Linked DNA regions of Ovis aries. The protein of the gene in region 2 interacts with the protein of the main gene of each other region in a biochemical or structural test. Links are inferred from orthologs where the notes say so. Each region holds a gene or a part of one and is shown on either strand. Other genes may lie near its edges.

Region 1 (7,498 bases), on a different chromosome or scaffold from region 2:
CTGAAACCTATCACTTGGAAGACAGGCACCCTCTGCTGTTGGTCCCTGTGGGGCCCACAGAGCTGGTTGGAGGAGCCCCGAAAGGCCAGGGGCTTAGCCCAGAGACAGCTCTCACTGCCAAGACGGGGCCTCGGGCCAGAGTGACCCTGATGGGAACAGAAAGCAAAGGGGAAGGAAAGAGGGCCTCCTTTTGCCTTTTTATTTTTTATTGCGATTGTGCAGTCGGCTCAGCAACTTAAGTCTTCAGCTGCACGGTATTCAGGTGGCACTGTGATTGCCTTCAGCTGCGCGGCATTCAGGTGGCACTGTGATTGAAGTCAAGAAACGAACAATTAGCGCTGCCGCCCGAGGGCCTGTGGCTCGTGTAGATGCCCTGACTGACAGGAACAGAGTTTTTGTGCAGAGGAAGTCTGTCTTGCCTGGTCCGGAGTGGGCCGGGCAGGTGCTGGGTAGTGAGCTCCAAGCCCACCGTCCCTGCTCAGCTCTGGATCCTGGCGCTGGCATCTGTGAGCTGCATGTTTCCTCTGTCAGCCGGCTTCCTGTCGGGCGCCAGGGGAGGATGCAGCAGAGAGCCTGAGAGGCAGAGAGGAAGCCTTGTTCCTTCCTGCTTGCCTCTGCTCTGTCTGCGCCACTCTGGTGATTGCCCTTCATCCTGGCCTCAGCACTGGGTCCCGGCCTCCAGCTTTTGGGGGTTCCTCCAACTTTTGGGGGCACCCCCAGCATCAGCCTCACAGCAGCCCCTCCTCAGAGACCTGGGTTCAGCTCTGGAACCCTCTTCCTCAGAGCCTCTGGATCTGATCAGCTACAGCTTTCTTCCTTTGTCCCCCAGCCTTCATGGGGGCAAAAGGCAATAATCCTAAACTAACACAAAGGTAGTATCTGCTCCCTGCGGTCATTACCTCTGTGTTTGTTCAGGTTCCTCTTTCAAAACTTTCTTCAGTCCAGTAATAGGTTTAACCGATTTCCTATATTAAATTCTTTGTTAAAATACCTAGTGTGGTGTCTTTTTTCCCAAACTTTTCCCTGATTTTCAAATCCCCTAGCAGAAATCTGGGGTTAATCATCCCCAGATTGACCGTGAGCAGTGGTTTGACGTGTCTTCTCCCACGCCTCCTGTACATTGCTGCCTGTCCGTGGCCTCTGTCATGGGGGTCCTCTCGGGCTGCACCCCGTCTCCCGTTGAGAGGCCCAGCCTTTATTCTGACAGCACGTGCCCCTTGCACGCTGAGCGCACCTGCCATGTAACTAGCATCCGAGCTGAGCAGTGGTTGACCAGTGCTCCTGACGTCATCTTCTTTATGCTAATTGAGATTTTGTGCTGTGCTTTGCATATTTTTGCAGCCAGTACCTTTTTCACTTTCTCATGTCTCATATGTCTTAAAAACACTTTTAAAAGATTGAAGTTTTGCCATTTCCATCTATGTGGATGGACCCAGGGGGGGTTATGCTTAGTGAAATAAGTTAGAGGCAAATACTGTATGTTACCACTTTTACCTGGAATCTAAAAAATAAATGAATGTAGAACAGAAATAGACAGATACAGAGAACAGACTGGTGTTACCAGTAGGGGGAGAGAAGGGAGGAGGGGCAAAGAGGGATGGGGGATTGAGAGAGACACTACCATGAATGAAAATAAATAGCTACAAGAGTATATTGATTAGCACAGGGGATGTAGCCAATAGTTTATAATAACTTTAAATGGAGTATCATCTGCAAAAATACTGAGTCACTGTTGTATACCAGGAACTAATACTGTCAACTGTATTGCAATATAAATAGATAAATAAGCAAACATTCATTGTATACTACTTCCAGATTTACAGAAAAGTTGCAATGTTCATTCATTCAATAAACAGATGAGTACCAGTTCGGTTGAGGCCCCTGCCCGCCTTGTTCCGAGATTAGTGAGGGGTGTCTGGCGGGTGACTGGGCGTCAGTCTTCAAATGAGGGGTCCCGAGAACTCTGAGGGGAAGATGCATGGGAGCTGAGCTGCGAGGCTCAGAGCAGCAGCTGGTATGAGCACCCCAAGGAGAGGACTCAGTGTGTCTGAAGAGTGTGACGAGGAGGCCGGAGGGGCGGGATGAGGAAGGAGAAGCAACGGAGAGGAGGGCAGGGCCGCATGGGGTCCAGTCCAGGAACCGGGCCCCCCTTTCTCGGGTCTCCAGGAAGCCACTGGAGGGGTGAGGCCACAGGCACAGTTTCCAGGGCTGTCTGGGGAGCAGGTGCTAGGGGCGCGAGAGAAGGCAGAGGCCTGGGGTCATCTGGAGGAGGCGCACAGTAGAGGAAGGTTGGGTGAGTGTGCATCCCTTCTGATGCCTGGGATGAGGAGTGAGGGAAAAGGGAGTCATGGCTGGCTGCCAGTTTGCTCTAACTGCCGGATGGTGCTCCTGCTTACCAGGGAAGAAGGCAGGTGGGGGGAAATCCTGAGTTGAGCTTTTGTTACAGCTTGGGGTCCCTGTGAAGTGGATGTGGTATGGGACTATTATGCATTCTGGATCTTAAAATATATGTTCCAGTTTTTAAGCTAGGGACAGGCCACTATTTTAGACGGAATGTTTTCAAGCCTTTTAATCATCCTTCTTAATGTGCTCCCCCCAAAGGCCGCTAGATGTCACTGTTCACACGGCCGTTTCTTGTGCAGCACGGGGTGCAGAGGGCACAGGGCGCGGGTGAGGGCCCCGGAGGAGGCCGGTCTCCCTGCAAAGGGGGCCAGTCTGACCGGGAGGTGTCAGCCGCGGTTTGGTGTGGTCTTCAGATACGCAGATGATGATAACGCAGCTTCACGTGAGAAAACCGTGCACAGCCTTCTGATTAACATGCTGCTTGAACTGGGTCTCGAAGGCTATGAGGTGGTCCGAGTGGGGGTTCAGCACTTTAGGCAGAAGGAACCGCCTGGAGAAGGCGGCGCACTCCACTGCTCACCGGGCAGAAGTGACAAGGGAGCCATCCCCGGGCATGAGGCGGGACTCGGTGTTTCTTAGTGGAGGCTCGGTTGGCGCTCGGAGAAGGACCGTTTCTCCTGGGCAGGTCTGGCGTCCTCGGCCCCCTCCCCCCACACACCTCCTCGATGCCGGGTGGTCCTAAAGGCAGCAGGGACGGAGTGCCTGTGGCTGAGATCCCTTCCCAGAGCGCGGCCCCGGTGGTGAGGAGTGGAAGGCAACCCTGTGTCTGTGCCCACCCTGATCTTGTGCTTGAGTTCAAAGTCCTCTAGAGTTGCTTGTTCTTTACTCTGTACATGATGGTATCTAGTGCCTTGGCTGATGATCCCAGCATGAGTAGACATCAGTGTGACTTCCCAGAATGAAGGATGCCTCTTACACGTCATTTTCCAGAGTGTAGACAAATGAACAGAAAAGCCAAGTCCATCTGATTGGGCCTAATGATGCCACCCTAAGACTTCAGTGACACTGGCTTAAATTTCCTGGCTTCTTTATATTCCCCCAAAGCCAGGATGCATAGGCGCTGGTGCAGGGACTGATTACGACTAACTTAGCAAACAGCGAGTAGACTCTGAATGGTGGCAGCAGACACACCAGCTCTGCATGGGGAATAAATGGGGTTTCAGAAGTTGTGCAGTTTTTTAATTCTTTGTAATTGCCTGACATGGCTATGCCTTCTATTTTTTTTCCAGACAATTTATGAAAACCGAATATACAGCCTTAAAATAGAATGTGGACCTAAATACCCAGAAGCACCCCCCTTTGTAAGATTTGTAACAAAAATTAATATGAATGGAGTTAATAGTTCTAATGGAGTGGTAAGTTGTTTCTGCTGCCCCTCCTTGTCCCCTGGGGGTCCCCCAGATTCTTTGTGCTCGAATGTCAGGGGCACTTGGGGCCTGATTGCATTTGTTCCTTGGTTACTGGATGATGACATGTACCGCAGGACACACACGTGCTGTTTTGGAGGGAGGGCCTGTTTCCCAGTTGTGTTTCAGCACAACTTGTATGGCGTTGGCTCTGGGCTGTTATCACTCAGCCTGTGCCGGTCACTTTGAGAGGAGCGCTCCTTCAGCCTTCCTGCTACACCCCCAAGAGGTAGAGGCAAGGAAATGGAGGCAGAGAGGGAAAAGACCGCCCCAACGCCACGCTTCTCCCCACGGGCCTTATTTCTGCACCATGGACATATAATACTTTCTCCTTGTAATGGCCTTGCTTTCTTATTTTTGCCACTGTTTTCACTGCCGTGAATGGAGACCAGTCTCATCTGCCGTAAGCAGGTGCTGGTGGTGACACCACAGTAAACGCTGTAAAAGCAGAGCAGGGGCAGCCGACGGCCCCGTGCCGCGCGCCAAAGGCGCTCGAGCCTCTGAGGCCCACCTGATGTCCTAAACCCAGGAGAAGTTCCTGCTTGGAGGCGTTTCTCCAGGGGGGCACTGCACTGACTTGAGGGGGGTGGCTCGGACAGGCTCTGGTCTGCTGTTGCCTCACTCTCCCTACTGCCCTGAGCGGTGGCCACCACCTGGGTGCAGAGTGGGCAGGACAGGCCCTGAACATCACCTGCCACCTGGGCACAGTGGGGAGGAGAGGCCCTGAGCATCGCTCGCCACCTGGGCACAGAGTGGGTAGCACAGGCCCTGAGCATCGCCCGCCACCTGGGCACAGAGTGGGGAGGACAGGCCCTGGGCGGTGGCCGCAGCTCGCCCAGCAGGCGGGGCCGTCGTTTCACAGCCAGCTGAGCCTCACCAGGCGTTGGTGCCTCATCTGTAAAGGCGGCTTTTACTTGCCCTTAATTCCCTCCTTCCAGGCCATGAGGGTTCCCAAACAAGGGCAAAGCAGACCAGCGGGAGGGAGGGAACCCCGTGGGCATTCCGCGTGTCAGTCCTGCTGGGTGACCAGCATGTTCCACCTGAAAAATGCTTCTCACTCACTTTTCTGCTGTAGCTTAGCTCCAGCACACAGCTTTCCTTTTGTTTGAGAGCCTGACAGTAATTTGTTTTATCTTTGCCTTTCTATAGGTGGACCCAAGAGCCATATCAGTGCTAGCAAAATGGCAGAATTCGTATAGCATCAAAGTTGTCCTGCAAGAGCTTCGGCGCCTAATGATGTCTAAAGAAAATATGAAACTTCCTCAGCCGCCTGAAGGACAGTGTTACAGCAATTAATCAAAAAGAAAAACCACAGGTCCTCCCCTGCCCCCATTCGATTTAAGCAGTCTTCATTTTCCACAGTAGTAAATTTTCTAGATTCGTCTTGTAGACCTCAAAGTACTGGAAAGAAAGCTCCCATTCAAAGGCAGTTTATCTTAAGATACTGTAAATGATACTAATTTTTTGTCCATTTGAAATATATAAGTTGTGCTATAACAAATCATCCTGTCAAGTGTAACCACTGTCCACATAGTTGAACTTCTGGGATCAAGAAAGTGATATTTAAATTGATTCCCATCCTAACCGGTGGGGCACGTCTAACTCAACTGTGAAAAGACACATCACACAGCCACCTTGCTGCTGATTCCACGGCCTGGGGTCTCTGCCTTCCCCCCTCCCCACTCCCTGCAACAGCCCTCCAGCTAGGCGTGGCTTGTTAGAGTAGGCGTGAAGGTTTCAGGTCACAGCCTGGGGGACACTGCTGGCGTGTGGGCTGCTCTGTCCGCATCCCTGGTCTCTCTCTAAGTCTTAAGTGACGCCCCTCTTCCAAGCCATCAATCCTCCTCCCCCCCCCCCCCACCCTCCACTGCCGCCCTTGGCCGAGGCATAGATTGTAACCCCTCTGCTCCCCTCTGAAATTGGCCTTTGGTGAGGAATTCAGGGCTTTCCCCGTATCTTCTCCCCCCACCTAAATCGAGGGGTGCTGCTTTTTCCTTCCTCCTCCTCAAGTCCCTTTCTGCACCACCAACACCCAACACTTCCCATGACGCTTCCTTGCTTTGGCCGGAAGCCATCAGGTAAGGTTGGAAAGAGTCTCTGACCTCCCCTCATTTAGTCTTGGAACCACAATTTACTCTCCACCAGCCTGGGAAACGAATATTGGGTTCTCAGCCTTGCCACCCTCTGCTGTCATCGTCAGCTGATGCGTTTCTTTAGCTCAGGTTTCGATAAGGTGAAAAGAACAGTCACCAGGGTTACTCAGGCCTGCCAGCTCGCGGCCTCCTTGGTGGTTAAACTTGGAGGAAGGCCACTTGGAAGCACACACGACCCCTCGGAATGAATTGTCCTTTTCCTGTAGAGGCTTTGGCTTTCTAACATGGAAGAAGCTTTACACAGGGCTCTCACTGGGCCATCCTTTGAGTCCACTCGGGTCTGGTTCGGAAGCTGACAACTGGAGCGAAAAGAGCCTTGAATCCGGTGCATACTTTGGTTTGGGTGCTGCTGCTTCTCCCGGCCCTCAGCAGGGGTCACGAAAGACCTCGGTGTGCACGGCAGACCCCCGAAATTCCTGGCGAATCGCTGCATTTTTCCACTTTTCTGTTCAGGACCACTAAATGCTGAGATGTGGATGCCTACCGAAATAAAATCAATTCATTGTGCTCCAAGGGTTTTTTTTTTTTTTTTCAGTGTCTGTGTAAAACCACCTTTTGAAGCAGCAACTATCAAGTCTGAAAAGCAATTGATGTTTCCATTAATCTTTTTCTGGAGGAAACCTTAGTTCTAAGGGTTTAACATCCTGTAAGTAAAGTTTAACATAACAGTATTCCATAAGCAGTCTTTTTATTGTCAGACCATTGCCTGATTTTAATATAATAAAAAGAAGTGTGCGTTAATATTTAAGAAGCTGTGCTCTTCTTCCTCAGCATATAATTTATTCAGGATTAGAATTGAATGTCTTAGATGCTTTGGTGTTCAATTTGACTTCCAAAAGCAGGGGTTGGGGAACTTTTTCTACAGTGGGTTCAAATTAGTAAACATTTAGGCTTTTTTTTTCCATCTGGCTTGTGAGATCTTGGGTTGTACCCAGGCCCTCAGCAGTGAGGGCAGAATCCTAACCATTCTTCAGCCAGAGAATCCCCAACTGTTTAAGCTTTATTGGCCAAGAGGCAAAATCAAAGAAATTATGTGTGTGTTTATTTAACGAGAAAACAAAATTTCCACAACTTTTGGATGAAATTCAAAATATCATAATTGAGTACAGTTTTTTGTAATGGTAACAGGTACACTGAGAAGAATGGAATGCTTTTTTTTATGGGGTAACGTAATTGGGATTCAAAGTTAGCATCCCTGTTACCAGATCAGTTGCAGACGCTCCTCCGTATAGATCATTCGTCATTTGAGGGGCCAAACAGAGCTGGGCGGTGGACCAGACCTGGCCCATGGACCATAGTTTGCCAACCCCTGTCTTAAAAAACCAGCAAAGGAGGGGTAGGGTTTTCCCTTAGATTTAAAATGTTGCTTTGTGAAACTCAAGCTATTAAGTCTCTGCTAGTAACAACTATTAGTACCTAGTAGCTGGATTTAGTTGTCTGTTGGATGGAAAAGATTCTCCCATGTGTTTCTAGCATTTGAAACAAGAATTTTGCTCGGATGGAGAGTGTGTCTGCCATCCACTGTGTGAGGGCGAG
Region 2 (9,033 bases):
GTGTAGACAGATTAATAGACCAGAATAGAGTTCAGAAAGAAACCTCCAGATGTATGTTCAACTGATTTTAATTTCTAAAATTGAAAATGTAAAAACTTACAGTGATATAGCATTATATTGGATCTGAAGATGTTACAGCAATAATATATGAAGTTCCTTCCAGAGAAAGAATGTTTGTTATCATGGTTACCCTCAAGAAAAAAATTAAGTTGATTAGTTAACAAGAGGATGTTGAGAACACACCACTATTAAAAATTATAAAAAGTCCAAACCAGGAATGGGGTGGAAAACTCTTGCAGCACACTTCTAATACCTTGTTTGCACATTGCAAATAGAAGAAAAACTGGCAAACTAGACATAGTAATAGCCAGCTTGTCACTTTCCTCAAATATTTCCTTGCTTATTTCTGTCCCTAAAGAATATTTGGAGAAAGAAGTATATTTAGCAAAGTTGGGTATTGGGAGGAGAAGGGTTTTTTACACAAAATATTTGGTATAGTCAAAGTGGGCTAGAGGAAAATATAAGGTATGTTACATCATTAAACATTTGGATGGGGGTTTAGAATAGAGAAGGGCTTCTCTGGTGGCTCAGATGGTAAAGAATCTGCCTGCAATGCAGGAGACTAGGGTTCAGTCCCTGGGTTGGGAAGATCTCCTGGAGAAGGGAAAGGCTACCCACTCCAGTATTCTTGCCTAGAGAATTCCATGGAGAGAGGAGCCTGGTGAACTACAGTTCATGGGGTTGCAAAGAGTCAGACATGGCTGAGTGACTAACACTTTCACTTCACTGTCTTAGACTAGAGAAGGCCCAAGCCTATAGACTGACTTCCTTTTTGTCAGTCTATCAACAAAGCTTTATTGAGCACCTGGTGGCTCAGCTGGTAAAGAATTCATCTGGAATGCGGGAGACCTGGGTTCAATCCCTGGGTTGGGAAGATCTCCTGGAGAAGGGAAAGGCTACCCACTCCAGTATTCTGGCCTGGAGAATTCCATGGACTATAGTCGCAAAGAGTCGGCAACGACTGAGCAACTTTCACTTTCTTTCTTCCTGTCTGCATGTTCCCCTCTAGTATTAGAATAATGCAGTAAGTGAAATAAATACAGTCCTTGATCATAATTATTATTTTAAATTACTTTTTAAAAAGTACTTTAAATTACTTTTAAAAAATCAATAAAGTTGTGCAAAATTTTGCAAAGGAGACATATTCATCTACTTTAGGCCCTGACAGATCTGATCCCAACTTTCATTACTAATGTGAAGAATGTGGGAATCCTATTAACTAATAATAGTTCAGTGTTTATTAGGCCATGATCTTTAAATTGGGATACTGTTCCCTTGGACAAAGTTACCAAGTATTTACAAAAATTTAGTCTTGGGGAAGTGGGAACTCAAATACTTTTAAGGAAATTAACAACCTGATCCTCAGTTTTCACGTGTAGTTTTTCCTAAAACAGATCTGAGTGAAAACAAGAGCTGTTAGAGGCGCGAGGATTGTCTTCCAACCCACCTTTTCGCAATGGTTCTTCTTAAAAAAAGACAGGCCCACCTCTCACCCATCTTGGATTTTAAAATGATATAATTTTGGCCAAGGGTGTAAAATATTCCTGAATGGTCAGAAGTAATTGGTGTTAATGTTGAGAAAAATGAATGACTTTAATATTTGGGTATCAGTTCTGTTCAGTCGCTCAGTTGTGTCCAACTCTTTGCAACCCCATGGACTGCAGCACACCAGGCTTCCCTGTCCATCACCAACTCCCAGAGCTTGCTCAAACTCATGTCGATCAAGTTGGTGATACCATATATCTGGGTATAGTTATCAGATAAAATACAGATCACCCAGCTAAATTTTAATTCTAGCTAATCAATGATTAATATATTGCATGGTACATAATTATACTAAAAAACTATTTGTTGTTTGTCTCAAATTTAAATGTAACTAGGCTTCCTGTATTGCTAACTCTGGCAGTCCTATTTGGGTAAAATACCTGTGGTTTCCAAGTCACAGAGTTCAACAAAATGAGTTGTCTATTGAAACCTAATTGCATTTTAGGATTAAATATTACTAAATAATTTTGGAGCTATAAAACTGGTACTAAAAATTTTGGAAAAAATTGAAGTAACATTTTTTGGAGGCCAGTCTATTTATGTAGAAAAGATTTTTCAACACATAAACTTTGGGAATTAAAAAAAGGAAGAGAATCTATGCTGAACTCTATAATGTTCTATGGAAATTAAAAAAAGGAAGAGAATCTATGCTGAACTCTATAATATTCTACTAATAAGTAATATTCATGAACACACACTTGAATAAATTGTTCAAATATAAGCTGCAGCCTCCATTAAGATTGCATTTGTAAAAGAATCATTTTTTATGAGTATATTGTTATATCAGCATATGTTTACATTGCTTTGACCAACTGACTTTGAATATAAGTACTGAAAGTAATATAAATTATAATGTAATCAAGGAGAAAATTTTGAGTTACAGCCTATGATCACAGGAAAAAAGTTAAATTTCAATTTATACATGTTTGTTTCAGAAATTTGTGCCAGAGGGATCATAAAGATGTCCATTTTAAACACAAAAATTCTGTGGGGAAGTAGAATGTTCAAGGACAAAAAGCAATGATAGAGTATTTCCAATTATTAAAGATGAACAGATATATTAATAATGAAGGTTATCAAATGGTATTTGTAGTCCACTGAATATATCTGAAAGACTGTTGATCAATCTTATTCTAAGACATCAATGTCTAGATTTAAATCCATTTAGTTGGTCCCATCACTTCATGCGAAATAGACAGGGAAACAGTAGAAACAGTGTCAGACTTTATTTTTTTGGGCTCCAAAATCACTGCAGATGGTGACTGCAGCCATGAAATTAAAAGATGCTTACTCCTTGGAAGAAAAGTTATGAGCAACCTAGATAGCATATTCAAAAGCAGACACATTACTTTGCCGACTAAGGTCCGTCTAGTCAAGGCTATGGTTTTTCCTGTGGTCATGTATGGATGTGAGAGTTGGACTGTGAAGAAGGCTGAGTGCCGAAGAATTGATGCTTTTGAACTGTGGTGTTGGAGCAGACTCTTGAGAGTCCCTTGGACTGCAAGGAGATCCAACCAGTCCATTCTGAAGGAGATCAACCCTGGGATTTCTTTGGAAGGAATGATGCTAAAGCTGAAACTCCAGTATGGTCACCTCATGCGAAGAGTTGACTCATTGGAAAAGACTCTGATGTTGGGAGGGATTGGGGGCAGGAGGAGAGGGACGACAGAGGATGAGATGGCTGGATGGCATCACGGACTCGATGGACATGAGTCTGAATGAACTCCGGGAGATGGTGATGGACAGGGAAGCCTGGGGTGCTGCGATTCATGGGGTCGCAGAGTCAGACACGACTGAGTGACTGAACTTAACTGAACTGAGTAGTTCCTTAGCAACTACAACTTTTGTGTTTTAATGTTAAGTTAAAAATGTGCAGGGAAATATAGTTTTCCAAAACTATTTTGGTGGGTACATGATTATAAATATATATAAAGATCACAAAATTTTTTTCCACCATCTCACAGGAGAGTTGAAAATGGCTTATAAAATTTTCAACTAAGCAGGCTCAAAATGAATCGAAATCTCCACATAAGTAAACTGAATCTTTTTTATATAGTTCCAGCTGGAAATCTGCTATGGACAGCCAAATCAGCTAACACAGAAGATACCCCAGCTCATCCTGACTGTTCTGCATCCCTGTTTCCACAGGAGAGTGAAGTACTAAGTAACATTACAGTTCTGCCTTTAGTGCTTGGTATCTTTTTCTTGATTTACTGGAAGGCAGGAAAATCAGGTGAGCTTTCCCAATCTGTTATCCTGGCATGCACTGTCTTTAGATAAATGTGCTTAAATTGACTCCTTAGGCAGGAAATGTTGAGGAAAATATGTGTAGTGAGACTTGACTTCAGATTTCTATGAGGCTATCATGGCAGACATCTCCCCTGTGAAACTGAAGCCTACAAAGAGGAATTTGTTTTACAGCCAACTCCACCCTAGTTATAAATATAACCAATCAACCAGAAAAAAACAATTTTTTTCCCCACTAAACTAATATGGTAACCTTTTTTTTCAGACTAAAAATAAATTGAAAAGGAGAATCTTGTGATTTTTTTTTTTAACAAAACCCCTACATTTCCACTTATGCTTTACAATTAGAACAAAAAGTAAAAATAAATCAGAAAGCTTGCACAAAGTTTAATATTTTATTACGTGGGGAGATGCACCTTTTCCAGTCAGGCTGACCAATGATCATCTTGCCCTCTCACAGATTATGAAGATTTCCTCTGACCCACGAACAATGAAGTAAAGGTATTTCAGTAAATGCCACGTCGATCCGCCCCGGTTAAGAAACAGTCACGCTTTCTGGGTCATGGAAATCCCCGAGTGGGTCTGCCAGGCCACTGATTAAGGGGAAGTGTGTGTGGTTATTACCGCTGGAGTTCCCCTAAGACTTCAGAGGAAAGCACCAGCTCACAAGCAAACCGCTGGGAGGAGTGCGGGACGCGGGGAGCGAGGAGTGGGTGGGGAAGGGGCGGGGCGGGGTGGGGGTGGGGAAGACGGTTAAAAGGCCGCGGGAGCCTCCGGCCCGCCCCGAACGGCGGGGGCGACGGGTGGCGCCCGCCAGGTCTCGGCAGGCATATTTCTGGCGCGCACGGCGCCGGGCCGCAGGCCGGCGACCAGGACTGCGGTGAGTGAGCGTGCGCGTGCGCGCGACCCCCGGGGACGCTGCGCGGGAGGGGGCCGCCTCTGTGGCTCTTCCCGGGTCTCGCGAGCCGGCGCGGGAACATAGTGCGAGCCGGGCGGCCCTGACTGGCGCGGCCGCGCTCCTTAGGCCGGTCTCCTCAGGCGGGTCCCCGCCTCCGCCTCCGCCGCCCAGACTTGCCCTCCAGCTCTCGGGGCCGCCGGCTCCGGCCCTGCTTCGCCGACACTCGCTTTCCTTCCGCCTTCCTGCCAGGTGTGCAGTTCCTGTTTTCCTTTTTCCGTGAGTCAGTGGACGGGGGGGGGTGGGGGTTTGACAGTTGGTTTAATGGATGGCCGAAAGGTATCACTGCAGGAGGACATGGCGACCCACTCCCGAGTTCTCAGCTGGAGAATCCCTTGGACAGAGGAGCCTGGCGGGCCGCAGCCCATGGGGTCGCACAGAGCCGACTGGACTGAGCGACTAAGCCCAAGAGGTATCACTGGCCTCAGCCGGTGCCAGATGGCTTGGCCATAGTAAGGACTTAGAGTCTTTCATGGAGAAGGCAGTGGCACCCCACTCCAGTACGCTTGTCTGGAAAATCCCATGGATGGAGGAGCCTGGTAGGCTGCAGTCCATGGGATCGCGAAGAGTCGGACGCGACCGAGCGACTCCCTTTCACTTTTCACTTTCATGCATTGGAGAAGGAAATGGCAACCCACTCCAGTGTTCTTGCCTGGGGAGCCCCAGGGACGGGGGAGCCTGGTGGGCTGCCGTCTATGGGGTCGCACAGAGTCGGACACGACTGAAGTGACTTAGCAGCAGCAGAGTCTTTCGTTAATGAACAGATGGAAGAGTGTTCCCAAGTGGTGGCGGAAAGAGATTTTTGGTGTTTTCCTGATAATAGGCCTGGAAATCCTGTAGTGCTCTTAATCTAGTTATTAAAGTGCTGGAGATATTTACCTGATGCTAAAGGAAATGGCACCCTGCTCCAGTATTCTTGCCTGGAGAATCCTGTGGACAGAGGAGCCTGGTGGGCTGCTGTCCATGGGGTCACACAGAGTCGGACACGACTGAAGCGGCTTAGCAAACTAAGAGTAATATTAACTTTGTCATTATTTTTTGCCAACATTAGGTGTTTCTAAGACCTAGTCTACTCAAAGGCTCTCTCAAAAGACTTCATATGTGTCTTTCAGGTTTTTCACAGTCCTAGGGAGCAGTTGCCATATTTATCTCCACTGACAATGAGAAAACTCTGGGCTCAGGGAGGTTTACTTGTCCAACGTCACACCTCTGGTACGGGGACACTGATGAGTATTGGAAACCCAAGATGTCTGACTCCAAAGCCTGTACTAAACCATCACTTAGCAGACTTTGTAGTCATTAATGTAAAATTGATGTCCTTAATACCATGCAAATGAGGGTGCTGCGGTCCTTGAGGGGCTCAGTCAAGTTTGCTGACATTGACTTCTCAACAGAAACTCTTAGTGTCTTCATTGTTTGCCGGATGGGATGGATGTGTGGCTAGGAGGATTGATACAGAGCTGCTGCACAGTTCTGTGAAGGAGACTGCAGACTAGGGGGTGATGATTTAGTTGCTAAGTCCTGTCCAACTCTTGCGACCCCATGGACTGTAACCTGGCAGGGTCTTCTATCCATGGGATTCTCCAGGCAAGAATACTGGAATGGGTTGCCATTTCTTTCTCCAGGGGATCTTCCTGACCCAGGAATGGAACCCGGGTCTCCTGCATTGCAAGCTGATTCTTTACAGACTGAGCTAGAGACAAAAGGCACACTTAACGTCCAGTATCAGAGACTTGGATGTGCTAAGTGTCCAAGAGGAAGACATATCCAATATCCCTGGCATCAGGGAGGTTGCCCACTAGAAGTGAAGAGTGAGAAGAGGCATGATTGGGGATGAGCCAATCTGAGAAGTAACCACTAGAAAGGAAAGAGGAATTCCGAGAGAGAAGCCAAGGAACTAGAACATTTGTTAGAGGAAGTGGGCCCCAGTGGCAGGTGTGAAAAATTCCACTGGTTTTGGGAAAGAAGCCATTGGTGTTACTCATATTGAGAGTGGTTTTCCCCAGGCATAGAAACCACTACCAAAAAAGGAAGAAGGGGGAGGGATAAATTAGGAAGATAGGATTGACATATACACACTACTCTCTCTGTATATATAAAATCAACAAGGGCCTCCTGTATAGCACAGGAAACTACTCATTTGTAATAAACTATAAAGGAAAAGAATCTCTGTATCAGAGTGCCAAATGGGAGAGCATGAACCCTCCCAAAAGGGTGCAGCCATGGCTTAACACTAGCTTATTGTTGCCATCCAGAAATATATGCCTGGCACAGTGAGATCTTTGGATATTTTTATGAGAGCATTGGGATCTAGAATGTCATGGGAAATCTTTTACTTTTTTTTTTGGCCCCTCCACGTAACATGGAGGATCTTAATTCCCTGTCCAGGGACTGAACCCTTGCCCCATTTAGTGGAAGTGTGGAGTCTTGACCACTGGGGAAGTCTGGAAATCTCTTACTTACAAAAAGTGTTGGTAATTAACTAAAACATTGAAAAAATACAGTGATATTTTTCCAGGAAAAATCTTACTTGGAAGGCTGGTGGAATTCAAATGAGGCATACAGATTAATTAATAGCACTGTTTCAGTGTTAATTTCCTGGTTTCTGTAGTTGTACTGTGGTTTTATAAGATGCTAATTTGGAGGAAGTTGAGTGCAGGATATGTGAAAACTCTTTATGTTTACGAATTTTCTCTCTTTATAAGTTAATTTCAAAGTAAAAAGTTAATGAAATGCTGGAGTCTAATTCTGTGCAAGCCAGCCATAATACCTCTGCTGGCCACCAATCTGAGGCCTCTGGTTTTCGTCTGGGATTTTTTGGCCTCTACAGTGGCTAGCACACCAACTTGTATATGGTAGACATTCAGTAAATACTATTACTGTGCTTTGGAAAAAATGTTTACAAAGTGATCATGGTGTAACATCTATGAATTATTTGACTTTTAAAACTCTTTTTTTTTTTTTTTTTAAACAGGTTTTACAAAAGAGAGGAACTGTTCTTCTAGATTTTTTTTTTCAGTTTTTTCTATAAATCAAAACATCTGAAAATGGAGGCCTAAAACTCTTAAAAGGGACTTAGTCTGATCTGAGGGAGGTAGTTTTGTGCATGAATAAACAAAGTAGATAACTGGACTTTTTATATACAAAGAATGTTAATTTAAAAAATATAATCTAGTTATAAGAGGTATAATTACACAGTAATAATAGGTTTGATTCTGAATTTGACTTGTGGATATAAAGAAATGATTGTAGTCGAGACAAATTGTTGAAGTACTTTTTTTCAGAGTTGGCCAGGCAGTTTCGTACTGGCTGCTGTATAGAATAGAAAAACTTGTACCTGTGTTTGGTAAAGATTTAAAAATGAATGACAGTTATCTAGAACAAAGAATTAATATTCAGCCTTCTGCTAAGTTAGAGAAATATGCATATAAAACCTTTGGCATGTTAAAAGATTTCTTCAGTGACAAAGAAATGTCAAAACCAAAACTTTTTGATAGGTACAACAAAATAAGAGTAAGTATGAAAGATAAACGTGATGATTGGTAAATAAATTAACCATTTCTAAGCCTACTGATATTTTGAAAGTCAAAAATTTAGTTTGTTCAAATGGGTTGTTATCTCTGAGAATAATTAGAATGAGAGTGATGGGTGGATGGTTACTTTTGGTAAATGAACAAACTTCAGAAAGAAACACAGAGATAGTGGTAACACCACACAGAGACAGTAATAACACCAAGAGTTTTATATTTTAAAATAACACAATATTACACATTTTATAACAATGTGTAAAATTATTGACTAATGAAAGGAATACTGAAGTTAAACAGAATAATTCACCTTTGAGGGAAATAATCACTGCTATTTCTGATGCCACCTGGAAAGAAAGCATTGAAGTCTGCAGTAAAAAGCCTCAATATATATGAGACCCAGGAAACATGCTTGCAAATCACTTCTAGAAGAACCATGATGACTTGTTTACTGGTTATTACTGATACTACTGATGTAGTCCTGCCTACTGGTAGCTAGTTTTAATTGAGAAATTCTGAATTTTGAGGTCTCTGTTGTTCAAAAGAAGTGGAGTGTGACAAAGTAAATTTATTATGTTTTGTCAAGATAAATTCTGGTTCAGGGTATGCTATCTGTGAAATAGTTTCTGACCAAAACCAAAATTTTTTAATCCATCTTTTTTTTGTTTGTTTGTTTAAAATTTATTATCCATCTTAGCT
Region 3 (6,897 bases), on a different chromosome or scaffold from region 2:
AGTCACACTGTTCTTTTAAATTTTCCTGAAAATAAAGCCAGCCACTGCTCTGTCACAAACTAGAAGGTAACAAAGGTCAAGCCATTTGGAGTCTTCGGCCACCAGACGCACCTTGCCCCCCAGGATAGTGTCATCAGACCCCTCAGCCTAGGCTGTCCGTTCAGGTGGGCTTCAGGCAGCTGCCCGCACATGCGGGGTGACAGAGCCTGTCCTCCAGGAGGCACCCTTGGCTCTAAGCCGAATCTCAGTAGCCCACTGTGTCCAGGCTCTGATGTAAGGGGAAGTAACCGCCTGTATTCTTCCATTTGCCCTTGCTGTTTCCTGAAGGTGAGAAGTCCGTCTCAGACATGTTCATCCTTTATCTCGTCTAGGCCAGAGACTACCATTTGTGATCAAAACCACACTGTTGGGCACCCATCCCCTCCAGAACTCCTCCTTCTTCCCAACCCGAACCTGTCCCCGTCAGACGCTAACTCCCCTTTCTCCCTCCTTCCCAGCCCCCGGCAGTCAGCCTTCTGCTTTCTGTCTCTACGAATTTGTGACTCTAGGGACCTCATATGAGTAGAGTTATACGGCATTTGTGCTGTTGTGACGGGCTTACTTCACTGGAGAAGGAAATGGCAGCCCGCTCCAGTACTCTTGCCTGGAAATCCCATGGATGGAAGAGCCTGATTGGCTACAGTCCACGTGGTCGCACAGAGTCGGACATGACCGAGCGAGTTCCCTTTACTTCACTGGAGACAGTGTCCTCAAGGGTCATGCATGCTAGGTCATGGGCCAGAACTCCCTTATTGTGAGGCTAAAGAGAGTGCATCACCGTTGTGTGGCCCGTCCAGAATGGACCGCATTTTGTTTACCTGTTCATCTGCTGACAGACACTTGGGTAGGTTCCACTTTTTGGCTGTTAGGAACAATGCTACAAGCGTGCGTGTATAGATATCGGATTAAGACCCTGCTCTCAGTTCTTTGGGGCATATACAGGTAGAGCTCCTGCATGGTATGGCAGGTGGTTTTTACTTTTTGAGGAACCACCACCGGTTACCACAGGGGCTGCATCTGTTTATATTCCCACTAGCCGCCCACAGAGGTTCGCTTCCCCACATCCTCGCTGACACGGGTTGTTTTCTGTATTTTTGATAGTTTCCAGCCTAATGGATGTGAGATGATTCAGCCAACTTTTAAAGAAGAAAATTTCAAGTGGTGGCGTAGGATGAATTATTTAACTTAAGCAGTCCTGCCCCTTTACCAGGCTGTCCTTTTTTCTCTTCCTTGCAGTCTAGATATACTACTTATCTCTGTGTTTCTTTCTAATTAGATGAGTCTGTGAAATATACCATACACAACAGTTCTGGCATTCAGATCGGCGACAGCAATTACATGGAGATTGGTGGAATGAGTTCATCAGTACTCGACAGCATGTACATGAACTTGAAAGAAGAGCCGGCTTCTAAGTACCAAGCCATCTTTGGTAAGCTGCCCTTGAAGGGCTCATCCTACAGCAACCTTGAACTTTCTCACCTGATTATTTCTCTGATGACTCTCCCTGAAGAGGCCCTATTGCTCCTCATGTAATTTCCGTGGACGTGCTTTGTAACTTATTTATGTGTGCTGAGGCCATAATTAGAATATCTAATTCATGGGTTTGCTATGAAAGTGAAATTAGTCAACACAAACAAAGGGCTTATACACTGTCTGGCACATGGTAAGATAGAAAAGTGTTAAACACATCATCATCGTCAATATGGCCACCCGGACCCAGGAGCCCATCAGGTCCTCGTCAGAAGGATTCCGTAAAGGACAGAAGACTATGCCCTCAGCTGCACTTGCATAATAAAAATTAGAGGGCTTTCTCTTATGGGATTCCACTATACAGCCTCATAACATTAATCCCAAAACACAACCTGGGGGAAACAGTGCGATTTAAGAACCCAGCTTTCTAATCCACCCCAGGACTGGCATTCTCTTTTTTTAATCAAGGGCCTGAGAGCAAGCGTTTCTGGCTCCGCTGGCCCTGCCGTCTCTGTTGCAGCCGCTCAGCTGACACTGCCTCCATGTGGGCTTCCCTGGTCGCTCAGATGGTACAGAATCCTCCCACAGTGGGAGACGTGGGCTGGAGCCCTGGGGTGGGGAGATCCCCTGGACGACCACTCCAGTCTTCTTCCCTGGAGAATCCCCATGGACAGGGGAGCCTGGTGGGCTGCAGTCCTGGGGCCACAGAGTCGGATGCGACTGAGCAGAGCACGTGGCGCAGCTGACCCCCAGCACGCCAGCAGCCCCAGGCAGTAGGTGCACGGATGGGTGTGGCCACATTCTAATAGAACTTTGTGTGGCTGAGAGGTTAAAGCGTCTGCCTGCAATGCGGGAGACCTGGGTTTGATCCCTGGATCGGGAAGATCCCCTGGAGAAGGAGATGGCAACCCACTCCAATATTCTTGCCTGGAGAATCTCATGGGCGGAGGAGTCTGGACAGAGCCAGGCTACAGTCCACCGGGTCCCAAAGAGTCGGACATGACTGAGCGACTTCACTTTCACTTTCTTTCACTTTACAAAACGAGCAGCGGGCCACGTGTGGCTCACAGGCCATAGGTGGCCAAAGTGAAAGTGAAGTCGCTCAGTCGTGTGAGACTCTGCGACCCCATGGACTGTAGCCTACCAGGCTCCTCCGTCCATGGGATTTTCCAGGCAAGAATACTGGAGTGGTTGCCCCATCTAACCCTCTCAAAGCCAGTCTTTAATTCACTAGAGCAGAGGTTCCTAAGGTCTGGGCTGACAGGGTGCCTTTGAGAACCTGCTGGAGCCCAGGGCCCCTCTCCTGGTGAAGCATTGGCAGACTCTGGCCGGGAGGCTGACATCTGGTGATGGTCAGAGCTGCACTGTGGGAGCCGAGGAAAGATGGGCGTTCTGCCGGGGGGGACGAGGTGTTTCTATTATTCCGCTTACTGAACATCACGGAATATGGCTTGTTTGTGGTGATTTTATACTTCTCTTTGCTTCATTTTATTATTTTTACGAAGGCCTGAGAGGAAGGAACCAGTAGGGAGAGAGAGGTTACGGCTCTAGGAGAAAGGAGGACTGAGTGGGGCAGGGGAGGGATGAGCCCAGAAATGCCGCACCGGTGAAAAGACAGCGCAGCCAGAGTTCCCGCCGGTGGCCTCCGTGTCCGGGACCAAGTGAGAGGAACACGCACGGCTGGCCGACGGTTTCCTGAGTTGAGTGACCTTAACTCTGGCCAGATGGAAGCAGAACAAGGCCCAAAAGGAACAAGAATGGTGTTTTCCCCCTTGACGTCAGGAAGGTGTAAACAGGGGCTGTGGTCAGCTGGTCCGGAACAGCCTAGCGGCCAAGGGGGCAGCTCCCAGGAGGAAGCCGGTCCTCGCGTGGGCTGGTAGACAGGCGAGGAGCGTCCGGGGAGCCGCAGCCAGACCATGGGGGAGCTACCTCTTTTACTGACTCCTGGGACTCTGTACTTTATGCCGGTGTTTGAAGCCAGAGTGTTCACGTGGCCACAGCTCAATGCCTTCTCTTTTCTGTTCGGCAGATACTACTACTAGTCTGACTGACAAACACCTGGACCCGGTCAGGGAGAATCTGGGAAGACACTGGAAGAACTGCGCCCGTAAGCTGGGCTTCTCTGAATCTCAGATCGATGAAATCGACCACGACTACGAGCGAGATGGACTGAAAGAAAAGGTTTACCAGATGCTCCAAAAGTGGCTGATGCGGGAAGGCAGCAAGGGGGCCACCGTGGGGAAGCTGGCCTTTGCGCTGTACCTGTGCTCACGGATAGACCTGGTCAACTGCTTGATCCGCGTCAGCCAGAACTGAGCCCACAGGCGCTCCTGCGGCAGGGGCCGCCTTCCCCCCGGCGAAAGCCTGCTGCCTGCGGAGACTCGGACTTCTCTTCTCCCGGATACAGGGGGTGCTGCGTCTGTGTCAAAGTCACCTCCTACCTTTCACAGCTGGAGGATGGAAAAGGGAATCGCCAGCAAACCACCCACTGCGCCGGACGCAGGACCACCTATTTGTGGCCAAGGCCCAACCCAACAAGAAGCCTAATTGGGCTTCGAAAAGGAGAGAAGAGAGAGTTGAGAAAGATCATTTTTTTCTTTCATATGATCCCATAATCTTCATGCTATTCATTCTGGTTTCTGGGAGTTTTGATTGAGCAAGGAAGAAAAAGAAAAATTTGGAGTCTATAACCTAAATCAGCTTTCTAATTTTACACTGCCTTCTCCACATAAGCACCTGTTATAACCAAAGTGAAAAATAAAAGTTCTCATTCAGTCGGATAGCGGAAAACTGGAGGGGGAGATGGTCCCCAGCTGCAGGAGGGGGCGGGGTGATTCCTTTCCCAGATGCATCCCTTGTGACCACTGCTCTCTAAATTCCAAACAGGTTAACTAATCAGTGTCAGAGACAGCAGACAATATTTTAATGGACTAATTAAAATAAAATTTTGTACCTCAAATGGAAACCACTGAAATTATGTGTTTGTATAAACGAAACAGTGTGAGATTCTCCATGGTGACCCCCAGCTACTGGCAGGAGAGATCGGGGAGCTAGGGAGAAAAGAGCTTTCCTGACATTGCATTTTGACTTTCAAGATGAAACCCACGGGCCTGAGAGTAAGCACTGCAGTCTCGCACACCCAGCTCAGGGGCCTTTCCTTCAGCCCCCACGGTCTAACTACTGGACGAAGAGGGCCAAGTTTACATCTGAGGAGTTTCGATATTAGGCCCAAACGCCACAAAAACACTCGTCTTGGGCAGGAATCAACGAAGTGGGACGACACAGACTACAATACGAGAAACAAGGCAACCTGTTCTTGGCTCTGAGAAAGGTATGAAGACCCTGAGGTGGATACTCCTAAGTGAGACCCACTCCCAGACCGCAGACCCTGCTCAGCAGAGTCCCCACTTGTCGCTGTTGCGATAATTGCTGTGGGTCCAGACGATGAAGTTAAATCTTCAGCAACACGAAAAGGAGTTATTTCTCACAACACATTTTAAATAGTTTAAAAAGCTTTTCTAGTTACAGTAATCATGTAAATAGGTCTGTATACGGTCAAGGTGTTAGAAGCATCTGATTACAAAGACATCACTGAAGGACCAGTTCTATGGTATAATCCAGACGCAGGCCTCTGAAATCAAGCAGGCACAAGTTACACTCTGGCCGTGCACCTGGGGCCTGCTTCCTGACCTTTCCCGGCCTCAGTTGCCTCATCTATAAATAGGGTGCTAGGACATAAGGTAGGTGTGAGGATTAAAATAAGATGATGCATCTCATTTTAGGTGCCTGGCGCAAAAAAGTTATTTAAGATGTTTTTTGATGTAGACCATGTTTGAAGTCTTTATTGAATTTGTTACAATATTGCTTCTGTTTTTATGTTTTGGTGTAGAGGCATGTGGGATCCTATCTCTGCAATCACGGGTTGAACCCACACCCCTTTGCGTTGGAAGCCACAATCTTAACCACTGGACTACCAGGGAAGTCCCTAAAAATAGTATTTTTAGAATTAGTCTTTATTGGAGTCTAGTTGATTTATGCTTCATTAGTTTCAGGAGTACAGCAAAGTGACTGTTAAACATATATCCACTCTTTTTTATATTCTTTTATAGATTCTTTAGGTCATTATAGACTGTTGAGTTCCCTGTGTTATAAGTAGGTTTTTATTAGTTGACACCAGTAGCCTAAGACCTCAGCACTACCATTTTTGCTGACCAGTAGGATAACTGGTATTAAAATTGTACAATTATTTTTAACCCCTCATCATCTCTGACAAGAAATCCCAATCAACATTTCATAAAAAAAAATAAGGAAATGTTGACCCCACTTCAGATTCTGAAAGTCAAACAACAGTAGCTGGAACATTACATATTTCTCTTTCCTTCTGTGTAGGAAACTGATGTGACAGCTTTATGTTGAAAAGACATATATAGTATATAGTATAGTATTATAGTATATAATATATATATACTTTTATATAGTATTTAAATCAAACCTCCCTTTACTGCCAAGAAACTCCCACTGGTCAGGGAGGACACTGCTGGTAATACAACTTCTCATGGCTGTAACACCAGGAAGCACTGTGCATAGAGGATTGTTACAATGAAAGGGTCTCCAGGAGAAGTAATATAAGATGCAAGGAAGCTGCTGGAATCTCCAAATCAAGACAAGGCTAAACAGCAGCCACCGATGTGCGGTTGTTTTCTGTTAAGGGAGAGAGCAGCCACAATCAAAGGGTATTGTTTTTCATTTTCCCTGTGGAACCTTCAGCTGCAAATACTGTTTATACTCTCTGAAGACTGAACTGGTCGTAAGAAGCACACACACTCAACAGTGGTGAAATACACGTAAAATTTGCCATCTTAACCGTCTTTAAGTGTACAGCCCTAAACACATTCACACTGTTTCTGCCACGTTCCTGCAAAACTGAGGCTCTGCCCCCACTGGACACTAACCCTGCCTCCGGCCCAGCCCGACACCCACCTGCTTCCGAACACCTGGGCCGCACGGGCCTCACTGATCTGGACTCACACGCGGCTCCATTTACGACCAAGCCTGCGGTGCTCGCCGCTCCCCCGCCCCGGGGGCGGCCAGGGACCCCACGCGGACACAGCCCCCATCCTCCGCACCCGGCGCCCCCCTCTGCTCCCGCCACAGCGCCGAGAAGCGGGAGCCCCGGCCTGTCTGCGGGATTCATCGGAGGCTCCCTGCGGCTTAGCTCTCGAGACCCGGGCCCCCGCCCGCACCGCTCTCCAGCCGCCGCTGGCCCGCCCTGATCTCCGGGATCCCCGAGAGCAGGGGCCCTCACGGGTGTGGGCCGGTGTAAGAACGCACACAGCGAACCCCAGTCCCCTCCAGCTGTCAGGCTGGCGGCCCCGAGCCCACCCCTCC
Region 4 (8,241 bases), on a different chromosome or scaffold from region 2:
GTAACATACTGTACCTATATATATCATGCTTGACAGAAGCCCTCGCTTTCTGTCCGGGTTCATAGTTTTCAGGTGGCATATAGACAATCGTCCCTCCTTCTGGTGCAGACTTACTACTTCGTGATTGTGAAAGGGACATCATACGCCATTTTGATAAACCGAAATCTGCAATCTGGAAGGGAAAAGAGTAATTTAAATCCAGGAATTGTTTGCCTTTCTTTATATTTACTGTGTTTAGACATGAGACCAGAATAAATGGTATATATACACATATAAGCAACACAAACTGAGGGTTCAGCATAATATCACAAGTTTTAAAAGAAACTAAGATTTGAAAAATTAAACAGGAATACTTTTTGCGTTTAGAATAAAAGAATGGAATGAGTACATCCACTTTACTTTTTGTGATAAGTAGGTTTACATCATGTGCTTTCAAAATTTACCTATACCTCACAAAACTGCTAAACTACTCATATCTAATATGACCATCACTGTGTATATATTCTTCTTTATATGTGCTTAAAATAGTACTTTTATATTTTGAAATAAGCAAAATTCCATAAAGTATAACTCATTATAATATGATTTTTGCTTACCACAAAAAGAATATCTGTTGACAATAGTGTAGTTAGCAATATAACATATTCATGTCCATGCCAAGTGGTACCTAAAGAATTGTCAGCGACAGACATTCTGTACTTTTGACATGTCCTTTATAGTTTACTTCACTTGAAAATTTTGTGCAGATACTACACAATATTTTGTAGCTATCTAAAATGTTCTAATATTTTTAAAAATGGAGACAAAAATATAAGAACAGAAACAATATTTAATGAACAAAAAAGTATAAGGAAAGCTTTGAAGACATTTAGTTTAAATTACTTAGACCTTACACTGTGCCATTTAGGAGCTGACAGAGTGGAATGAGCTCCATCCACCATACCTTTTGTGTTTCAATCGTTTAACTCTTAAAATACTTACAAGCTTTAACAGAAGAAATAATTTCTTTAGTGTTTAGATGTATTTGAGATTAAAAAATTATAGCCCCACTCCAAAAAGGGATGGAGGACTATACAAATCTTTCATATATTACCATAATGAAAGGGTAAACTTAAGAAAAAAAATTAGAAAAGACCAAGAGAAAAAATGGTGCCACGACATGAAGAGCTAAACTGGACTGATTTCTAAAGGCAGTGCAAGATGTTATTCAGTCACTAAGTTGTCCAACTCTTTTACAATCCCATGGACTGCACCCTGCCAGGCTCCTCTGTCCAGGGGACTTCCCAGCAAGAATACTGCAGTGGGTTACCATTTCCTTCTCCAGGGGATCTTCCCAACCCAGGGATTGAACCCAAGTCTTCTGCATTAGAGGCAGATTCTTTACCACTGAGCTACCAGGGAAGCCCCACTCAGAACCGTATTTGACACATAATGGGTGAACCACATGTTAGTATTATTAATGTTTTATACACAGGAATAAACCTCTAAAGCTTACTCTTATTCATACAACACCAACAACACAGAATGCAGTTTGAAGGTCTTTAATCTAAACTTTTAGGTAGTATTAAGACTCTGGGCAACTGTATCCCAGTTACTCTTAATTGCTACTACAAACTCTTATTCCTCTCACTTATCCTCTAAAAGCAAAAACAGTGCTCCAGTTACAACACTGGCTAGGATAATAAACATTACTATGAGAAGGCAAAGAAGGCTGAGTGCCAAAGAATTAATGTTTTCAAATTGTGGTGCTGGAGAAGACACTTGAGAGTCCCTTGGATTGCAAGGAAGTCAAATCAATCAATCCTAAAAGAACTCAACCCTCAATATTCACTGGAAAGACTGATACTGAAGCTGAAGCTTAAATACTTGGACCACCTGATGGGAAGAGGTGACTCACTGGAAAAGACTCTGATGCTGGGAAAGACTGAAGGCCAAAGGAGAAGGAAATTAGACAGCATCGCCTACTCAATGGCCATGAATTTGAGCAAACTCTGGCAGTTAGTGGAGGACAGAGGAGCCTGGCGTGCTGCAGTCCATGGGGTCGCAGAGAGTCCAACACAACTTAGTGAGTGAACAGCAATAGGCTCTTATACCTGAACCATAAACTGCAGACTACTGGGCTAAGCACTGCTGCGAATAGAGCGCGCAGAAAATGCATTCTTAGTTTGTTTATGTGCTCCTTTTACTTCACATTTGTGTTTTGAAACCTTATCTAGAAGAATTAATCAGAATTCCCTTTATCAGTCAATTTAGTTTGGTTTTCACATGGAACTACATTTCTTCCCCTTCTCCATCACAAACATCATATACAAAAGACATGATTCATTAAATCTGGATCTTCCAAAGAAGAGAAAAAGTGAAGAATATGAGAGGGATACAAGTTCTATGGTTTCTTGAGGATCCTGAAATATTTGTCATTCAACAATGAAGACAGAGAATAGGAGCTTTTCATTTCTACACAAGATCTTAACATACATTTTAAAGGTAAAGGATCTTTTTAGTTCAAAACAGATGATAACACAACAAGAATTTATCACATAGCACAGAAAACTATATTCAGTATCTTATAATAACCTATAAAGGCAAATAATCTGAAAAATATATAAAATTGAATCACTTTGCTGTATAACTAAAATATAATACTGTAAATCAACTATACTTCAATTAAAAAAAATTTTTTAAATCAGAGGAAATTAAAACACTTTGCTCATAAAAATCATCACTAATCTTACCACCCTACCAGAATAGTTATTTTCATTTACATAATACTGTCTGTCTCTTTAAAACTATGAAGTTATCATCAGTAAGAAGCTATGAGGAAGAACCTCCAAGCATTCTGGTTTCCACACAGGACTGACAACAGGAGAGAAACCGGACATGGTGCATATAAATGCTTCCTTCACACAAGCCTGTCATGGGTTCATTTGCATTTAAGGTGTACTAATAGATGCTGACCAGCAGACCAACAAGTTGAACATGTTCTTTTTAAAGTAGAAGAGTCTTGATTGATCTTAACTAGTGGTAAAGATTTTTATTTTAGATACTATTAATATGTTTCTGATTATCATTATAGTGAGAAAATTTACTTAAAAAAAAAAAACCAAAAAACTAACAAGGTGTGAGGTTCCATTTAATCTCATCAAGTACTTCAAGAGAATTTTTGTATTTCATTTAAATGGCCCTTTCAAGAAGACAGGTAGATAGGATAACCTAATTATTCATGAGTCACTGAAACTCTTACTTTTAAGGGACATTTATAAAACAAAAAGTAGAGACACACAGGATACATATAAAAGAGTGTCACTAATTTATAAGAACTGTATTAGAAAGATCACAGTTTTGTATGTGCTAAAAGTAACAAAAATTAAAAAAAAACACACAAAGCCAAACTATTTTAAATTCTATTCATGTCAAATAAATACCATGGATACCCTACTCATCAATGAAAAAGAGAAATTAGGGATCGTCATCACCTATTACTTTGCTTGGGTCTTCTCTATCAGGAATGGTTTCTGGACTGAGATGAAGGAAATAAGGTCCAAGGAAGTTGAAAAATTTATATAGTACAAGTCTCAGTTCATTTTACATATATTTCAGGTTTAGTTAGAATACTAGCAAATACCTCCACGGTGCAGAACAGAAAATAGTATTTGTTGACGGTCTGTATGAACATCATGACCTGACCCATAGGAGAGAGGCAAACACAAAAGGTCCCAAGAAACTTGCCACCACCATCCACACCCTCTCGCATTTTAGTATAAAAGCAAAAGCCTGTTCTAGCTTGGGTGTGGTGGTTCTTTGGGACACTAATCCACCATTTTCTTGATCTACTGGCTTTCCAAATAAGGTAGCTATCCCTTGCCCCAACACCTCATCTGTTGATTTACTTGCTCTGTTGTGTGGTAAGCAGTATAAAGTTGGACATGGTGACAAGGACACTTAGGAAAGCAGTCAAAGAAGGACTTTTGTAACACTTGTATGAAAAAAAAGGAGAAAAATGGGCTAACAGTTCTTTTAGGAGTATGCCAAACAAAATGAATGCTTATTCTCCAAAAGTTCTAATTAATAAAAGGCCTGAACTTGACCTGAAGGGAGGTTTTTAGCACCATGTTGCGTAGCTCTGATTTGAGCACTGTAATGGTTAGAATGCCAGAATAAAAACTGTGATAAAACCAAATGCTGGTGAGGGTGCAGAAAAGCTGTGTCTTTCATACCTTGCTGGTGAAATGTATAATGGTGCAGCCACTGCAGAAAATAGGCAGCTACTTAAAAACCTAAACATACTTTACCATATGACCATGCAGTTAAAACTCTTGGGCATTTATCTCAGAGGAATAAAAACTTATGTTTGTTCAAAAAGTTGTATAGGACTATTCAATGGAGCTTTATTTTAACTGCCAAAGGCTAAAAATACCAAATCTCTCTCAATAAGTGAATGGTTAAACAACTCTGGTACACCCACACCATGGAATATTATTCACCAATGAACAAGAAAACAACTCAACACAAGCAAAGACTCCAATGGATCTCAAAGGCCTTACGCTAAATAAACAAAGCTGATCTCAAAATATCATACCCTGTATGATTCCATTGTCAAAACAACAAAATTATAGAAAAGAAAAGCAGATTACTGGGTGACAGCGGTTAGGGATGATGGAGGGAAGGTGAACATGCCTATAAAGGGATAGTGTGAGTGGTATCTTTGTTGTGATAGACTAGTGCTATATCTTGACTGCTGTAATAGTCACAGAAATTTACACCACATAAAGTGAAACAGAACTACAAACTACACATGTGTACTGTACCAATGTCAAATTCCTGGCTTTGAAATGGTACTATAATTATATGTGATGTAACCACTGGCAGAAACTGGGTTAAGGGTACATGAGACTTCTTTACTTTGCAACCACCTAAGAATCTCTAATAATTTCAAAATAAAAAGCAAATAAAGGTATACTTAACAATTTAAATTAAGAATATAATGACTCTGTATCTGAACCGTAGTTTTATGAATATCCGTAGTCTAGGAATAACTAACCCATTGCAGCAGGAAGAAGTGGCACTGAATTAGGGGCCATAGAAAAGGCAGAGATATTAAATTGGCAAGGTACAAAAAGTAACTAAAAGTCTTTAAAACTATTAAACACAAGGATGCAGATAAGCTTTTTTGAAAAACAGTAATTACCTTAACATGAAATTCATTGTCCAGTAAGATGTTTTGAGTCTTCAGGTCATGGTGAAGTAGAGGAGGATTCATATTGTGCAGGTAGTTTACACCTAGAGCAATCTCATGCAGAATACGAAATCTCAATGGCCAAGGAACCTCAGGATATTCGATTTTCTTCATATATATGAAAATAAATAAAACCAAAATCAATGGCCAAATTTATTTCCACTTTGAAAATGAAATATTCCATGAGGAATAGTATAAACTAAATATCTAGTATAACTAAGTTATAGGGCAAAATATACTTAATTTATTATATAGTATCTATTTGACATTCTTTAATATCCTTGGATCTTATTTTCCTTATAGAGAAAATAATGACTTTACAGTACTAATATTTCCTTTTAGTATATACTGGCAATGTCCTACATGGTATCGGGTCTCTCTCCAGTTGAGATAGCTTATTTTTATCTGTAAAACCCAGACACATATATTTATACTCGACATGTCTTCTCATTCCAGGTTGTTGTTCAGTTGCTAAGTCATGTCCCACTACTTGTGAGCCCATGGACTGCAGCATGCCAGTTGCCTCTGTTTTCTATTATCTCCTGGAGTTGGCGTTCAAATTCATGGCCACTGAGTTGTTGATACTATCTAATCATCTCATCTTCTGCCACCCCCTTCTTTTGCCTTCAATCTTTCCCGGCATCAGGGTCTTTGCCTATGAGTTGGCTCTTCCCATCAGATGGTCAAAGTATTTGAGCTTCAGCTTCAGCACTGGTCCTTCCAATGAGTACTCAGGGTTGATTTCTTTTAGGATTTACTGAATTGATCTTCTTGCTGTCTGAGGGACTCTCAAGAGTCTTCTCCAGCACCACAGTTGGAAAGCATCAATTCTTCGGCGCCCACCGTTCTTATAGCCCAACTCTCACATCCCTATGTGACTACTGGAAAAACCATAGCTTTGATTACACGGACCTTTGTAGCAAAGTGATGTCTCTGCCTTTTAATACGGTAAGTTTGTCATAGCCTTCCTTTCAAGGAGTAAGTGTCTTTCAATTTCATGGTTGCAGTTACAGTCCACAGTGAGTTTTGGAGTCCAAGAAAATAAAATCCATCACTGCTTTTACTTTTTTCCCTTGTATTTGCTATGAAGTGATTGGACCAGATGCCATGATCTTAGTTTTTACAATACTGAGTTCCAAGCTAGCTTTTTCACTCACCTTTTCAACTCTCATCAAGAGGCTCTTTAGTTCCTCTTCACTTTCTGCCATTAGGGTGATATCATCCACACGTCTGAGGTTGTTGATTTTTCTCCCAGCAATCTTGATTCCAGCTTGTGCTTCATCCAGCTCAGCACTTCACATGATGTACTCTGCATAGAAGTTAAATAAGCAGGGTGACACTATACAGCTTTGTTGTTGTACTCCTTTCCCAATTTGGAACCAGTCAGTTTTTCCATGATTGGTTCCAAATATTGCCTCTTGGCCCACATACAGGTTTCTCAGGAAACAGGTAAGGTGGTCTGATGACTCCCATCCTCTTTAAGAATTTTCCAGTTTGTTGTGATCCACACATTGAAAGGCTTTAGCATAGTCAATGAAACAGAGATGTTTTTCTGGAATTCCCTTGCTTTCTGCATGATCCAATGAATGTTGGTAATTTGATCTCTGGTTCTTCTTCCTTTACTAAATACAGCTTGTACACTTATAAGCTCTTGGTTCACATACTGCTAAAACGTAGCAGTTTGCAAAAACCTTGAAGGATTTTGAGCATATCCTTGCTAGCATGTGAAATGAGCACAACTGTATGGTAGTTTGAACATTCTTTGGCATTGCCCGTCTTTGACACTGGAATGAAAACTGATGTTTTCCAGTCCTGCAGACACTATGCATTTTCCAAATTTGCTGATATATTGAGTGCAGCACTTTAACAGCATCATCTTTTAGGATTCTAAATAGCTCAGCTGGTATTCCATCACCTCCACTAGGTTTGTTCACAGTAACGCTTCTTAAGGCCCACTTGATTTCATACTCCAAGTCTGGCTCTAGGTGAGTGACCACACCATCATGGTTATCCAGGTCTTTAATATCTTTTTTGTGTAGTTCTGTATACTCTGGCCACCTCTTCTTAATCTCTTCTGCTTCTGGTAGCTCCTTGCCATTTCTGTCCTTTATTGTGCCGTCCTTGCATGAAATGTTTCCCTTGACATCTCCAATTTTCTTGAAGAGATTTCTAGTCTTTCCCATTCTATTGTTCATTTAAGAAGGCCTTCTTATCTCTCCTTGCTATTCTCTGGAACTCTACATTCAGTTGGGTGTATCTTTCCCTTTCTTCCTTGCCTTTCATTTCTCTTCTTCCTCAGCTATTTGTAAAGCCTCCTTGGACAACCACTTTGCCTTCCGGCATCTCCTTTTGGAGATGGCTTTGTTATTGCCTCCTGTACAATGTTACGAACCTCTGTTTATAGTTCTTCAGGCACTCTGTCTACCAGACCTAATCCCTTGAATCTGTTTATCACCTCCACGGTATAAACATAATGGATTTGATTTAGGTTATATCTGAATGGCCTAGTGGTTTTCCCTACTTTCTTCAATTTAAGTCTGAATCTTGCAATAAGGAGCTCGTGATCTGTGCCACAGTCAGCTCCAGGTCTTGTTTGGCTGACTGTATAGAGCTTCTCCACCCTTGGCCACAAAGAACATAATCTTTTTTTTGATATTGACCATCCGGTGATGCCCATGTGTAGAGTTGTCTCTTGGGTTGTTGGAAAAGGCTGTTTGCTACGACCAGCATGTTCTTTTGACAAAACTCTCTTAGCCTTTGCCCTGCTCCATTTTGTATTCCAAGGCCAACCTTGCCTGTTATTCTGGGTTATTTCTTAACTTCCTACTTTGGCATTCCATGTATAATATAGAAACATTACAAATGTAATGCCTTTATTTCCTGGTACTTACAAGTAATAATCATCTGAATTTTCTTAAATGCTTTCCTAACTTAAATATTAATACAGCTTCCCAGGAAGACGAACATACTCAGAAGAAGTAGACAACCATTGGGGAAGAAGGTAGATG

Evidence for each region.
Region 1: the proteins of BIRC3 (region 2) and UBE2V1 form a complex in vitro, tested with the Homo sapiens proteins (2 studies listed by BioGRID). The link is inferred for Ovis aries from reciprocal best matches to the Homo sapiens genes BIRC3 and UBE2V1.
Region 3: of the proteins of BIRC3 (region 2) and RIPK1, one has a biochemical effect on the other in vitro, tested with the Homo sapiens proteins (5 studies listed by BioGRID, with this or other methods). The link is inferred for Ovis aries from reciprocal best matches to the Homo sapiens genes BIRC3 and RIPK1.
Region 4: the proteins of BIRC3 (region 2) and RIPK2 form a complex in vitro, tested with the Homo sapiens proteins (2 studies listed by BioGRID, with this or other methods). The link is inferred for Ovis aries from reciprocal best matches to the Homo sapiens genes BIRC3 and RIPK2.

Annotation. Positions count from the first base shown.
Region 1 is NC_056066.1:78,130,537-78,138,034, reverse strand, and holds the end of UBE2V1 (ubiquitin-conjugating enzyme E2 variant 1), read left to right. Parts: intron 1-3,632; coding exon 3,633-3,758; intron 3,759-4,958; coding exon 4,959-5,105; 3' UTR 5,106-6,710; downstream 6,711-7,498. UniProt on the Homo sapiens protein: Has no ubiquitin ligase activity on its own. The UBE2V1-UBE2N heterodimer catalyzes the synthesis of non-canonical poly-ubiquitin chains that are linked through Lys-63.
Region 2 is NC_056068.1:6,091,348-6,100,380, reverse strand, and holds the start of BIRC3 (baculoviral IAP repeat-containing protein 3), read left to right. Parts: upstream 1-4,634; 5' UTR 4,635-5,026; intron 5,027-7,781; 5' UTR 7,782-9,033. UniProt on the Homo sapiens protein: Multi-functional protein which regulates not only caspases and apoptosis, but also modulates inflammatory signaling and immunity, mitogenic kinase signaling and cell proliferation, as well as cell invasion and metastasis.
Region 3 is NC_056073.1:49,670,253-49,677,149, reverse strand, and holds the end of RIPK1 (receptor-interacting serine/threonine-protein kinase 1), read left to right. Parts: intron 1-1,315; coding exon 1,316-1,468; intron 1,469-3,538; coding exon 3,539-3,825; 3' UTR 3,826-4,474; downstream 4,475-6,897. UniProt on the Homo sapiens protein: Serine-threonine kinase which is a key regulator of TNF-mediated apoptosis, necroptosis and inflammatory pathways.
Region 4 is NC_056062.1:86,817,333-86,825,573, forward strand, and holds part of RIPK2 (receptor-interacting serine/threonine-protein kinase 2), read right to left. Parts: intron 5,342-8,241; coding exon 5,186-5,341; intron 173-5,185; coding exon 15-172; intron 1-14.